Linked DNA regions of Sus scrofa. The protein of the gene in region 2 interacts with the protein of the main gene of each other region in a pairwise test. Links are inferred from orthologs where the notes say so. Each region holds a gene or a part of one and is shown on either strand. Other genes may lie near its edges.

The links.
Region 1: the proteins of HDAC6 (region 2) and ERBB3 interact in a protein complementation assay, tested with the Homo sapiens proteins (2 studies listed by BioGRID and IntAct, with this or other methods). The link is inferred for Sus scrofa from reciprocal best matches to the Homo sapiens genes HDAC6 and ERBB3.

Annotation. Positions count from the first base shown.
Region 1 is NC_010447.5:21,472,834-21,477,184, reverse strand, and holds the start of ERBB3 (receptor tyrosine-protein kinase erbB-3), read right to left. Parts: upstream 2,968-4,351; 5' UTR 2,561-2,967; coding exon 2,479-2,560; intron 1-2,478. UniProt on the Homo sapiens protein: Tyrosine-protein kinase that plays an essential role as cell surface receptor for neuregulins.
Region 2 is NC_010461.5:42,920,918-42,924,720, reverse strand, and holds part of HDAC6 (histone deacetylase 6), read right to left. Parts: intron 3,180-3,803; coding exon 3,095-3,179; intron 2,997-3,094; coding exon 2,956-2,996; intron 1,827-2,955; coding exon 1,730-1,826; intron 1,595-1,729; coding exon 1,497-1,594; intron 140-1,496; coding exon 35-139; intron 1-34.

The DNA.
Region 1 (4,351 bases), on a different chromosome or scaffold from region 2:
TCTTGGGGGTTCACTTTACCCCCACAGGGGCTCCAGGAAAACTTCGACCCTGAAGCTCTACTACCCCTGTCTCTCCCCTGGCTCAGAAAAAGACTGTGGCGAGCGGAGCGGGAGCAGGAGTAGATACCACCTGTTCCAGCCACCCTTCCCTGAGGCAGTGGCAGCCTAGTGGGAGGCAGGAGCGGGAACGGAGGAAGGGAGATTGGTGAGGCCCCAAGCCCTCCTCCAAGATGCACCCCTAGTCTGCCCACTTGACCTTTGAAGGCCTTCTATTCCCTGTCACACCTCCTAAAGGGAATGGGATGAGCTAGACCTAGCAGAGGGGTAAAAAGGCCAGGCGCTCCCAGAGGAGCCTGGGAATGCTAGGGTCCTTGGGCTAAAAAGAAAACGACTAGGAAGGTTAGTCATTTCTGGAAAAGCCCCACCCCAACCCCCTTCCTGGCAGGACACCCTCTCTTCCAAGTCAAGGCGCCAACCCTTCTCCCCTGATAAGGGAGGAGCCAAGATTTCCACACAGGGAAGCGGGATGTGTGCGTGTACACACACACACACACACAGACAAACATGTACACAGCTCCCCTACTGGCCCCAAAATCTCTACTGGTTCTGTCCTTGGGCTTCCTTATCAGGAAGTATTTCAGGTGGCCCCATCCATCCCACCTGCCCATATGTGTCTGTGCAGACTTTGTGTCTGTGCTTGGGAGGCTACAGAGTAAGATGTCCCAGTTCCCTGCCTCCCTGAGGGTAAAGTCCGTATTACACAAACAGAGAGCAAAGGGCTGGGTGGCTGGGCGGGAAGAGAGTATGAACAACACCTCTCAGGAGGAACTGGGCAGCCTGGGGAGGAGGGGAGGGGGAGGGGAAATAGACCATCTCTGCTGTACTCAGGGACCAGGGGCCTTGGGAGAGCCAGTGTCACAGGCCCTCTTTTGGTAGAGAGCACTGGGGTGGGTCAGAGCAAGAATCTCCAGCCCCTCTTCAACCACAGGCCTCCTCTCCAAAGTCCCCCACCCCCATCACAGGCAGGACAAAGGGGCTATAGAAGGACTGAGACAGGGCCGGATGCCCAGAGGCTGCAGGATCCAGATAAAGGGTAAAGAGACCCAACCATGCCTGCCTCCTGTCTCCCTCGGGGAAGGTGGCCAGGGTCTGGGACTCCTGGGTTCCCGGTTGGGTTGAAGATTCCAGGGGTCTGGATGGGACAGTGATAGAGTCCCTCCATTCAGTCTCTCCCACTTCAATCCCCAGACCCCCACCCTCCACCAGCTGGGAGTGTTCACATCTCAAGATCCCAGGCTCTAAATTTAGGCCCAGCAACTGTGAGGGAAGCACAGGTGTTTCTCCCACTCCCACCCTGGGGAAGGGGCCCTGGCTGTGCCAAACCCCAAGCTGAGGTCTGGGGGGGAGGGGAGGAGAGCAACAGGATTCCTCCCATGCCAGCAACCCCAGCACCCCTCAGGTGTCCACGGTCCCAGAGACACCCCAAAGGGGTGAGTTCAGCTGGCATGGGAGTAGAAGGAGGAATAGTGGAGCAAACTGACTCTTGTCTAGACTCCTAGAGACAGCCAGACAATAAACAGAATGGGGGGTGGGGGGGAAGCTGTGTCTAAGAAGGAACTCGGAGGACAGGCGCCTCAGAAGATGGGAGAGGAGCCCTGTGGGCCCTGAGAGAGAAACAGCCACTGGAAGTCCTTGCCCCTTCATCTCCTGGCCCAGGGCTTTGTACATAGTAGATGCTTAATAAATACCAGTTGAATTGATCGGGGTCTTAAAAACAGGTTGGTCGAGTCTGGAACCAGCCAACTTTTATTATTTTGAGAGAAAGGAGGCAGGCAGTGTTTGCGTGGCCTCTCAACCTGCTGTCACCTGGACTTGGCCCTGGGGTTAATCTCAGCTCTCCCCAGGGCAGACCCACTCACGGAAGAGGAGGTGCTGCTCTTGTTTTCCAACACAAGAGAACAACAACCTACCCCCCCCCACACACACACCCCTTCCACAGCTCCGCCCTGTCGGCAAAACAACCAAACTGGAGGTGGTGGAGGGCAGGAGGGGGCAGGAGGGGGCAGGAGGATGGGTGCAAACCGAGACCCCCTCTCCCCGCCCGGCTCCCTCCAAGATCTCCACCTCCAATCAGGCCCTCACGTTTACAGAATGGGGGTCCTAGCTCCCCTTCCTGCAGGGTCCCTCAGAAGTGTGAATGTTTGCGCATCAGCCCTATCCCGAGAGACAAATCAGAGGGTCCGCGACGGGCCAGGGAGGAGGTGCCCAGGGGAAGGTGGTGGTGCAGGAATCCTCTCCCCGCCCGGACCACGCCGAGAACCCGATCCTGACGTTCCCCGCCCAGGAGGGGTCCCAGCGGACCGGGGCTCCGCACCCCAGCCTAGCACAGCCCGGGTTCCTGCCCCTGCCCTCCCGGACCCCGCGCGCTCCGCTCGGGATCCCGAGTTCCGAGCCTGCCGGTGCTCCCGCGCCGCTTACCTGCCTGAGAGTTGCCCACCTCGGAGCCCCGGGCCAGGCTGAGGAGGAAGCCCAGCACCTGCAGAGCCCGGTTCGCCCTCATGACTCCAGCGGCGGGTGAGGGGAGCCCAGCCCAATCCGGCCGGGGGAGCCCCTGGACTAGGACATCGAAGCGGAGCCACCTGAGCCACCAGCGACTTGGTAGCGGCAGCAGAGGAGGTTGCGAATTGCAACCGGAGCCGGAGCCGGAGTCCGGGGCGGGATAGCAGGGGAGGGGTGTAGTCTGCGAGGGAGCGAAGGAGGGAGCGCAGGGGGAGGGGGTGAGTCACGGCCGCGCCCCCTCGGGCGCTAGGCTGGAGTAGCGATTGCTGGAGCCTCGGCGGCCCGCCCCGAGCGCGCCCCAAGCTCCAGTGCCGGGCAACTGGGGCCACGCAGATCGCGGATGGGTCTCACCCTAATTTTTCTCCAGGAGCTGGACTAAGGAGAGGCCAAGATTCCAGCCGCCCCCAAATGCCTCCCGAGGAGAAAGGTAATGGGGGTGGGGAGAGCGCTCCAAAGCCCAGCCCCCTGCAAGTTGGCCTCGCCCACCAACCAAATCACTCAACTCCCCTAGCCGGTTGGGTCACTTGGGGGATTTTCTATCTGAATGTAAATGTTTCTCTGCATGTGTGTTTTTGAGTGGGAGGGTGTTTTTGCCGCCCACTCAGGCCACCTCAGTTTCCCCCAAACCCCCTCGAAACCCCATAACTCATCCACCCTGCCCAGGAACCCGAGCCCCAGAGGCCGCGTGAAATTGCACTGTCTCCGGCCGCTTCCTCCTCCAGACCCGGCGCCGGCCGGGCCTCTCCCGGGGATTTGGTTGGGGGGCGGGGGTGGCTTCCAGCCTGGGAACAGACCCCGAAGCCCGCCTTTTCACTTCCACCCCGGGAGGGGCTCCCGCACCTGTCGCCGTCCCCTCTGTTGCCCCCCACGGCTGCCTGGAAGAACAGCTGCCTCCCCTTGAACAAGAGTCTGACCGCGCCGTCGGAGCGGTCGCGGTCCTCGCCGCTCTTCGGGGGACCCAGATGGGCACACCGTTCCCACCACAGGCGCTCACACTTTTCCCAGGCCTTCTGTGCCCGGGTGTCGCTGGAAATGAGGTGGAGGGGGACGCGGAAAGGGCACTGCGTCTCCGAAAGTCATGAACCTCGGGCACTTCTACCACCAGCTCCCCGGATCCTGTCCAGAGGCGGTCCGGCGCACCCAGAGTGGCAGCCCCCAAGCCAGCCAGACTTCAAATGGATCCAACCGGCACCCCCTGGTGCCCAGCAGGTGGCAGTGAGGCCCCAATCCGCGTTGCATTTCGGATCTTGCCCAGAAAGCCTACTTTTTTCTCCTAGAGTTTCAAGCCCGAAGACTTCAAGAACGGTTGAGCCTTGATTAAGACAAATTCAACCTCTCACCCCGAGTCAAGATTACTGGCTAAAATTCTTTAAACTTGCTCCGTATTGAGATGCGCCCTGGAGGGCCCATTCCTTGGCGGAGGCTACCTTTGCCCTCTGGGCGTTCACCTTGCCCTGACCACTTACATAACAGTCATAATAGTAATAGAAACATTAACATATATATACGGAAACTACGTCGTTTGCAGCCCTTTCCTCCAACTTAGAGAACGTTTCACTTAACATACAAATTAGGTGAATTAGGGGACATCACTCTCCATTTTACAGAGCTGGAAATGTGGGACTATTCCAAGGTCATTCATTTGCCACCTGGTGAGGATGGCTGAGATGATAAGATGATCAGAAGGGGGAAGGCACTCAGGTTTTTGTTTTTGCCTAGAATTAATTTCTTTCTTTCTTTTTGCTTTTTAGGGTTGAACTCACGGCATATGGAGGTTCCCAGGTTAGGGGTT
Region 2 (3,803 bases):
CCTCATTATACCCGCCCAGCTGCTTGCTGCTGACCTCTGAACGTCATGCTTCTGCTGAGCGTAGCGGGCGGCCAAGGCTACGTGGTTGAACATGCAATACCCGTCCATAAGACTGTGCTGGGCGTGGTGTCCAGGAGGCCTGGGTAGGACAGGGAAGGCCATAGATATGAGGGGGTCCTCCTCAGCAGAGAGGGACTCTTTCCGGCTCCCTAATCCTACACCACGAACGTCCCCAGTGCCAATGCCTGCACAGGTCCCAGGCTAGGGGTCCAAGCGGAGCTGCAGCTTCTGGCCAGAGCAACGCGGGATCCAAGCCCTGTCTGCAACCTACACCACAGCTCATGGCAATGCTGGATCCTTAACCCACTGAGTAACTGGGGCCCTTGGCTCCACAACCCCCAGTCTGCTCTTCTCCTCCAAAGGAAATTTAATAATGCTCAGTAAAATTATCAATGCATACACCCTCATACCAAGTCCTTCTGCTCCTGGGGACTTAGTCCACAACCTATATAACAAAAAGGGTGAAATAACATGTTTATCAATGGATGATATTTGCTGCAGCATTTTTTTTTTTTTTGGAAAAAGCAAATGGTGGAACCAAAACGCTCCATGGTAAGGGGCTGGTTGGCTTACTGCGCCACTGTGTAGTGCTGTTTTACGCTGTTCAGAGAAAAGCTGTCCAACATGTGTGAGTGAAAAATGCACAGTACGCAAAGGAGTGGGTCAGGTGCTACCACCGTTTGTGGTTAAAAAAAAAGGGGGAGGGAGGAAAAAAGGCTACATCTTCTGCATGTCATCACTTCTGGGGTGCCAGTGACGATAAGATGGACTGGGATTTTACAGGCCGACAACAAAGCAGAAAATGCTGCCAAAGGAATTCTGAGACCTCCTCGTTTCTAAGGTGCACCTGGATTTTAAGATGTTACAAATGTGGAAAAGCAACATCTCAGAATCAGCAAAAGATGGTATTTCCTCCATGACTAGGCACAGACTATTTCTGGGAGGACACATGAGTCACTGGTTATACAGTGACTACCTCCAGGAGAGGAAGCCGGGGATTGGGGACGGGGGTGGGGGGGGGGGCGTGGAGAGGACTTTAACTTGTACCTTCCCCCTCAACCTTTTAGAATGTTCCATTCTTTTTGTCTTCTTTTTAGGGCAGCACCCAAGGAATATGGAAGTTCCCAGGCTAGGGGTCCAGTTGGAGCTGCAGCTGCCGGCCTACACCACAGCCACAGCTAGGTGGGATCTGAGCCCTGTCTGCAACCTACACCACAGCTCATGGCAACGCCGGATGCTTAACCCACTGAGCGAGGCCAGGGATCGAACCCACATCCTCATGGATCCTAGTCAGATGCGTTACCACTGAGCCACAACGGGAACTCCTAACCATTTGATTCTTGAACCGTGGAAACATACTACCCCTACCATTACCTTTTATATTTGAGAAAGGATTTTTTTTTTAACATAAAAAGCCAAAGGCCAGCAGGTCCTACCTGATGATGGCCATGCCATTCCGGATCTCAGCCCCCAGGACGGCATCCACCAGCCTGAGGACGGAGCCTGAGGCCAGGCAGGCACAGGTGTATGAGTTCTGCAGAGACAGTGGGGAGCCAGAGAGGGCGTGAGGGGGTGAGCAGCCCTGTCTGCTCAGCTGCTCCCCCCAGGGTGGGGGGGATGGGGGATGGGCATTGCCTCCACCCTCTGCCCTCACAGCTCTCAGCCATACCGGATGCAGATAAACCGAATCATAGGTGTCTGCTAGGACGCGGAGCTCCCCCTCATTCATGTACTGGGTCGTCTCCATCAGATCAATGTACTCTAGGCTGGGTAGGTGGATGGGAGAGGAGATTCAGAGGCCTGCCTCTCTCCTTGTCCCTGAGCCAGGGCCCTGTCCCCTTCCCAGCTGATTCCTCCAGGCACCAACCCCCTGGACAAGACAGGCCTCCTTCAGCTGTCAATGGGGGGAATAACTGGGATATAGAACACAGTCCTTGCTTCATCCCTAGCCTGCCTCATTTCCAGTAACATCCCTTTCCCTCTGCTCTGGCCACACCAAATCCTACCTCCAGGCCTTTGGCCAGAGTGTTCTAGCCATCTGTACCTCCCTTCCCTCAGGCTTCTTTGTATCACTCTCACTCTTTTTTTTTTTTTTTTTTTTTGGTCTTTTTAGGGCTGCACCTGTGGCATATGGAAGTTCCCAGGCTAGGGGTCCAATTGGAGTTACAGCTGCCAGCCTATACCACAGTCACAGCAATGTGGGATCCAAGCCGTGGCAGTGACCTACACCACAGCTCATGGCAATGCGAGATCCCTCACCCACGGAGCAAGGTCAGGGATTGAGCCTGTGTCCTCATGGATACCAGTTGGTTTCGTTACCGCTGAGCCATGATGGGAACTCCATCTTTTTCTCCTCTTAGTTATTTTTTTTTTGGCCACACCCACAGCATGTGGAAGTTCCTGGGCCACAGGGATTCAGGAATTGAACTCGTGCCACAACAGTCACCCAAGCAGCTGCAGTGACAAGGCTGGATCCTTAATCCACTGAGCCCCAAGGGAACTCCTCTCTCTCTTCTTAAAGCTCAGCTGAGATACCCTCTCTGCCAAGTTAATGTCCCTTGAGCCATATCTCACCAGGCCCCTTACCCTGGGTTCCTGCAGCCCCCTGGAGGAACCTCCTGATCACTCTGTCCACATACCCGTCATCTGTTTACACATCAGATTATAGTAACGAGAGTTCATCCGGGCTGATGATACATCAGGCACCATTCTAAGTACCTCACACAGGTTTACTGGCCCCCAAGATAAAGGCAATGACAACAATGAGATTCAGAGAGGCTCAGTGACTTGCCCAAGGCCACAGAGCCCATGACATTTCTTGCCAAAGCATCCAGCCTGCCCTGGTTGGCCCAGGGCAGCCTCCTCCCCATCCCTACAAGGCACCCAAGCCTTCACCTGTGAACCAACATAAGCTCCTCCTTTTCGGCGAATCGGGCCTGGGGAGACATGAGGAATAAAGAACTATAAGGCTCTGGCTGTGCCTGGGTCCTGCCAGCTGCTGCCCTCCATACGGGGTGTCGGCTGGGGAACTCACCTGAAAGGACACGCAGCGGTCCAGGAGGCCCTCCTGCATCAGCTGCTCCTTGATGGCATGGAGCCGCTCAGGGCCTTCAGGGAAGCTGGGTTGACAGAGACACAGACATATGACACTGGTGAGCACGTCTGCTCCTGCGCACCTTTCCCCATCTACCTGTCCACAGCTGCTGATGCCGGAAACTCTGGAGTCAGCCCTGGCGCCTGCTGGCTCGGTTCTCACAATAGATCCAGAGCCTGCCCCTCTCCTCATCACCTCCACCGCTGCTACCATGACCTCTCGCCCGGGTACCTCCTCACCGGCCTCTGGGGTCCTGTCCTTGTCCCTCTCTCTGCAATGGTTAAAACTCAAATCGGATCACGTCCCTCCACTACTCAAACCTTCTCATGGCTCCCATCTCATTCAGGGTAAGCGCCAAAGTGCTCCCCCGCCCCAGAAGGCCCTTAACCATCCACCCCGTCACCTCCCTGAGCCTCATTTCCTCCTGCTTCCCCCGCCCCCCGGCCACTCACTCTGCTTCTCCTGCATTGGTCTCCTCCGTGTTCCTCAACCAAACTGAGTAGGTCCCAGCTGGCACTTCCCCCTGCCCAGGACAAGCTTCTCCCAGATGTTCTCTGTAGCTCACATCCTCACCTCCTGCAGATCCCCACTCGCGTACTGAGGCCTCCCCTGACCACCCTATTTATTCTGGTCTTTTTAGGGCTGCACC